Linked DNA regions of Saccharomyces cerevisiae S288C. The protein of the gene in region 2 purifies or fractionates together with the protein of the main gene of each other region. This does not show direct contact. Each region holds a gene or a part of one and is shown on either strand. Other genes may lie near its edges.

Region 1 (3,243 bases), on a different chromosome or scaffold from region 2:
GGGCTCGTTATATACTTTTGAATATGTAAGATATAATTCTATATGATTTAGTAATTTATTTTCTATACGCTCAGTATTTTTCTGCAGTTGTCGAGTAGGTATTAAACGCAAAAGAAGTCCATCCTTTTCATCATTCAAATGGACATCTTGGCAAAGGGCCCAGTTATGGAAAATCTGGGAGTCATACAACGATTGCAGTTGGCTATGCCACTCCTGGTAAGGAATCATCAAGTCTGATAATTCTGTTTTTTAGCCCTTTTTTTTTTTTTTTCATGGTGTTCTCTTCTCATTGCTTTTCAATTTTAAGTTCGTTACCTTTCATATAGAGTTTCTTAACAGAAATTTCACAACGAAAATATAATTAACTACAGGCATGTAAATATAAAAACAGTCCTTTAATAATAAACCTTAAGCATTACGCGTGTATTAATATAATAAATAGTTATAAATTGAATAAATAGGGGAGAGAAGCCAAAAGGCCCTTCAAAAACAAAGATATAAATTCATCCTTAAAAACAACAATACCTGAAGATACTAGAACACCTTGTCGCCTATGATGGACATATATACAGACCGGGTCATAGCATTGCCAATGATAAATAAATAATAGTCATAGAGAGTAAACATAAACGCCTAACGTATAGGAATGTGTGAGAATGGTGAGTTTCGTCCTTGAAAATAATAATAATAATAGTTGGTGCTTTTATTAGTGCCAAAATCATTTGAGAGGCTTCTGAGTTCTTCGGGGCTAGCTGTTTTTCTGATAGTCTAGGCAAATGCCAAAGATTTCTTAATTTCAGCAATAGCCAAACCAGGATTCAAGCCCTTTGGACAAGTTCTAGTACAGTTCATGATGGTGTGACATCTGTACAATGACATGGAGTTGTTTAGCATGGCCTTTCTTGTCTTTGTAGCTTGGTCTCTAGAGTCAATTAGCCAACGGTAGGCTTGCATTAGCACGGCAGGGCCCAAATACTGTTCTTGGTTCCACCAGTACGATGGACATGAAGTAGAGCAGCATGCACACAGAATACATTCGTAAAGACCATCCAGTTTCTTACGATCTTCAATACTTTGTAGCACTTCCGTTCCATCCTTTGGAAACGATGATCTCTGTAAGTAAGGTTGGATAGATTTGTATTGTTGGTAGAAGTTAGTTAAATCAGGTACCAAATCTTTGACAATAAACATGTGGGGTAATGGATAGATCTTGAGTTGTTTGGATTCGTTCTGGTCGATCTTACATATACAAGCTAGCGTGTTTCTACCGCCAATGTTCATGGCACATGAACCGCAGATACCTTCTCTACATGATCTTCTAAAAGTTAGGGTAGAATCCTGTTCGTCTTTGATCTTTAACAGCGCATCAAGTACCATGGGCCCACAGTCATTCAGATCCACTTGATATGACTGTAAATGAGGTTTAGCACTTGGCTCGTCTGGATTCCATCTGTAAACTTTAAAAGTTTTCAATCTGGGGGTATGCGTAGCTGCAGCTGTTGTGGCAGTAGCCATACCCTTCTTCGTCACCAAACAAAAGGCCTTCCTTCTCAATAGCACGTTCAACATCCCTATAAATATGTATACTCCAGTATTTCAAGAAAGTATAGCTCAACTATATTCCTTTCAATCCCTTCCTTTAGCCTAACATTTTTTGGCATTCTCATAGAAAGTCATTAATCCCCTTATATAAGTTTGCCCTTTTTACACCGGAGCTAATTGGGCCAATGCGAGGCCGCCTTTTGCGCGCTGCGGATATTTCTAAGGCATGGTCGTGCGGAGCTACAATAATACGATTGAATTATAGCTACATAGTGTACAAAAGCGGGTATATACTTTCATATGTGATCATAGGATAGCTTCACAGTACTTATTGTATTCTCTAACAGCAATGGCGATGTTCCTGTACAAGGACCGACGTTCTTCAGGATCGCTGATGGGAATGAAGTATTCGGATTGAGACTTGAGTTTAATTTGAAGACCGGATCTTTCCAATGTAATTCCCTGGATGGAAGGATATCCTGTGCTCCACATAAGCTCTTGGGTGGCCATTTGCACCTCAGCAATGTGCTGCATGGACACAATTACTGCTAGTTCTTTGCCTGGCAATATAACGTGCGACAGGTATTCATCATTCATAAATACTCCTCCATTCACGGTCTTGAGCCAGTATTGTCCTTGGGCCTCACGTAGATCATAAGGCTTGATGATTTGATCATGGTCCACGTACCTTGGTAGACGCACTCTGCAACCCTTTTGCATGTCAAGCACAGTGGTGGTACTTTTCACGCCTTGACTTAAGTTACTTGTAAGATCTAAGAATCCAATGGCTGTCTTAGTTGGCAGCCCAACGATACCTTTACCAAGGCCTTTGAGGAAACCAGCGGCGCCTTCCTTTTGCATGGCCTTGTATGGGTCCAGTGCAATTCCGCTCAACCCGCTTCCCAGTGTGCTGGCAAAGGATTGCGCTGAGTTTGCCAAGGCATTCCTGTTGTTTTTATTTATTCTTTGTTGTAATCTCCTGACCCTTTGGAATTCCAGATCTTGTGTAACTGACAGGCCCTTGGCCATCGACCCCGTAAACTTGGACATACTATCAGAGAGGCCAAAGACTGTTTTCTTTGCAAAACTTAGTCCACCTTTAGCCAGATGTATACCAATTTCTTGAGGCCTATCATTCATCATGTAACCTTGATATGGTTCATAGAATAAGTCCCAGACACCGGAACTAATTGTGTTGAAAAGACCTACAGGATTACCAAAACAATCTGCTGATCCTAAAATTTTGTGGATCTGATACACGAACTGGGTCGTATAGTGTCTCTCAATATGGTCCATCAGAATGGGCAATGGGACTCTTACATTATCCATGAACAAAGAATTAACTTTAACCGGCGCCTCATTTATATTACCTAATGTCATAGCAAACATATGGACATAGTACAATGATGACGAAAATGACTCCTCGGTCTCTTCAGCCAATCCTGGACTAATTTCATCGGAGCGTATAAAGGACAGATGTAAGACGGTGGGCTGAATATGGAAGATCTCGAAATATATATCACCCGCCGTTTTTAATTCAGAAACATCAGGTAACTGGATTTCTTCATCGTACTTATAATCTCTTGAATCCATGATCCATGGGGATCCTGGGAATTTTATGAAGTCCATCATAGCATACAGCATGTCTTCATCTAATTGTATGGAAAATTCCTGGATTAATAACGTAACATGTTTAAAGTA
Region 2 (3,030 bases):
GACAACATCACCAGGGTTCAAAAATTTAGGCATCGTCTTTTGTAAGTGAACTTGTGTAATAATGCTTGATTGTCCATTGGTAGGATCTTCTAACCGCATTGTTTCGTTCGTATATTGAGTTACATTTGAATCATATTGCAAAGAAAGTTTAGAAACGTCAATGCGCTTGTATAGTTCTTTTAAAATAGGGGCAAAATTGATTCCTTTGAACATTTGCTCATTGCCCTGCCTAGTGTCCACAAGGCGAATATAATTCGGATGAAATTGAATGATTTTAGCATTTGGTTTATAAGTAAAAGTATAATGCCCATTATTAATTTCATTGATGTCGACTCCAAAATGCAAGACCAAGTCGCACAGTTCAAAATGTTCATAGACTTGTTTTAAACCTTCTTTACCATTATATTGACCCATATAAGTTGGGTTTGACTCATCAATTACAGATTTTCCCATAACAGTGGAAAAATTCCAAATCCCAGTTTTGCAGATAAGCTTGTTCAAAAAGTTACTCACACCATACCTATCAGTCAGTACGTCTCCAAGGATCGCAGGTGTTTTACTGGAATATATCCAACTAGTAATCTTGTTGATTATGTCAGACAATTGGTTTTCAGAAGGGTATACTATACAATCTTGTTGAGATATACGTGGAACATTAACCAAATTATCACATGTAACAGACATATCCGCAAAATCTGCAGGAACAAAAATATAACCAGGTTTAGAATACTTGTAAATATCGCGGATAACATTATCGACTTGGTCACATGCAGTTTCAATATCCTCCAAGTAGGCTACCGAGCAAGCGACTCTATCTTTTACCATATCATGATATACTTTATGATTTGGCCCTTTAAAATTTGAATCATGTAGCTGTGGGACCAAATGATGTAGGTTCCGATCACTAAAGTTACTTGAACGCGAATCTATGGACTTGGCCACACCAACAATGTGCAAAACTTTGACATTTTCAGCGAACGAACCGGCTATACCGTTCAAGGCGCTTAATTCACCAACGCCATACGTGGTTATTAAACAGCCAATCTTATTAGAGTAACGGGAATATCCGTCGGCCGCATAAGCGGCGTTCAGTTCATTACACGTGCCGACCCATCTTAGGCCAGCTGATTCAACACTAGGTGAATAGAGATATTCTAATAGAGATAAGTTGAAGTCACCAGGAACACCGAAAACTGATTTCGTATCGATGGACAACAATCTTTTAAATATGTATTCACCAAACGGAATTGTTGCTGATCGGTTGGAAACAAGGTGTCGTTCTTCTTGATTTACGAACTTTTCAATTGTAACAGGTGCCATGCTTAAGGGAGTTTCTTTGTTATCTTGTAAATAAACTTTACAGAAGTCGCGTCAACTTGTTTTGAGTATCAAGTTGAGAGGGTTGATCAGTTAAATATGTTTTATATCAGATTTTATGTAGTATTAATAAACGCAGAAAAAAAATGAAAGTGAGCTGCCGCTGTAGTGACGATGCAAACTAGCCCAGTTTATATCTTAAACTTTACTCAACACAATAAATAAGATGCCACTAACCTATTACATACCGACACTTACCGAAGGTATCAAAGCTCCGCCGCACAAAAGTACGACAAATGCTCAGCATGACCTCGGCAATTTTCGGTAAATGACGGCTATCCGCGGTTATCCCTCCCGGTAGGTAACCGACACTTTGGAGAGGATTCGCAAAGGCTCAAAGTAATATATGACGGCTTTTTCAAAAAATAGCCTAAGCCTACTACCAAATGTTAATAAGGAAGCTACATGAGGTGTACAAGCATCGAATTTTGGATTATCTTTTTCGCTAAGACGTTGTTGTACGCTTTCAATCCTGCTTTTTTAAATTTCGGTGGACGAACCAATCTAAAATGTAGTAAAACTGGTAGATGTTAATTAATTAACCTTGCAAAGCCGAAGAAAAAAAGGGGTTCGCCAAATTATTCTTAACAAAGATAATGTAGCTTAAACACACAAGAAGAAGAGGAGACGCAATACCAAGAGCATGCCTAAGAGATTAAGTGGGTTACAAAAAGAAGTCTTACACCTGTATAGGGCTTCCATACGAACGGCTCATACAAAACCAAAGGAAAACCAAGTTAATTTTGTGAATTATATTCATGAAGAATTTGGGAAGTATAGAAATTTGCCAAGAAAAGACTTCACCACCATTGAACACTTGTTACGGGTCGGAAACAAAAAAATTGCCACCTTTTCACACCCTGAACTGACGAATATACATTGAACTATTTTCTTACTTTATTCTTTTTTCATATGATTTCTTATTTAATCTATCCTATGTTTATTTAACTTTTGCAAATCTGTATTATGCTTGCTTAAATATGTCTCTATAGTTTCCAAGTATAAATTCCACGATATAATTCCTCTCCTTCATGTCCACAATATCTTTCTCGCCGTCAAAATCGTGGATAAGACTCGGTGCAAAGACCAACGACAAGTTATGTAAGTTCATTAAATTTCTTTCACTGCACCTTCGAACTTTGCCGATATGTGCTGCCAATACTTTCAATACTTCCTGATGCTCTACGGGTAAAATTTTGAAAATTTCAAGTAGGCTTTTGAGCACCATTTCATAAATAGTCACTTTTTGTGGTGAATCCAAAAACTTGTCGTTGTTTAATGGTAGCCTCTCAATTAGTTGGTTATTTCTAACTAGATCTATCAAGGCATCGTATATGGAAAATGATAAAACTGGATCTGGTAGTTTTCTCAAATATCGTTTTAATACGCTAGCCACTGCATGAATATCTTGATTCAGTAAAGCATTCAGTTTGGGACTTAATGTATCACTATGCAACGAATTATTCTGAGCGAATTCATTTTCGATCTCCTCAACCAAAGTCTGTGAGCCCGACTTTCTGTATAAGCCTTCCATGTTCAGGCCTATATCATCTTTTTCAATGCGATCAATGCAGCACCTGATAATTATTGGAACAGTACTTTTTTCATACGCACATCGAGCTTGTAGCGAAGATCCATATAAATGGGAACCAT

What was found.
Region 1: the proteins of SDH6 (region 2) and SDH2 purify together in Saccharomyces cerevisiae (affinity purification with western blotting; 2 studies listed by BioGRID, with this or other methods). This does not show direct contact.

The regions. Positions count from the first base shown.
Region 1 is NC_001144.5:52,363-55,605, forward strand, and holds SDH2 (succinate dehydrogenase iron-sulfur protein subunit SDH2), read right to left. Parts: upstream 1,570-3,243; coding exon 769-1,569; downstream 1-768. Other genes in the region: ATG10 (E2-like conjugating enzyme), read right to left, coding at 1-228; membrane morphogenesis protein VPS13, read right to left, coding at 1,849-3,243. UniProt on the Saccharomyces cerevisiae protein: Subunit of succinate dehydrogenase (SDH) that is involved in complex II of the mitochondrial electron transport chain and is responsible for transferring electrons from succinate to ubiquinone (coenzyme Q). SDH1 and SDH2 form the catalytic dimer.
Region 2 is NC_001136.10:1,232,508-1,235,537, reverse strand, and holds SDH6 (Sdh6p), read left to right. Parts: upstream 1-2,020; coding exon 2,021-2,260; downstream 2,261-3,030. Other genes in the region: phenylpyruvate decarboxylase ARO10, read right to left, coding at 1-1,320; GTPase-activating protein RGA2, read right to left, coding at 2,342-3,030. UniProt on the Saccharomyces cerevisiae protein: Plays an essential role in the assembly of succinate dehydrogenase (SDH), an enzyme complex (also referred to as respiratory complex II) that is a component of both the tricarboxylic acid (TCA) cycle and the mitochondrial electron transport chain, and which couples the oxidation of succinate to fumarate with the reduction of ubiquinone (coenzyme Q) to ubiquinol.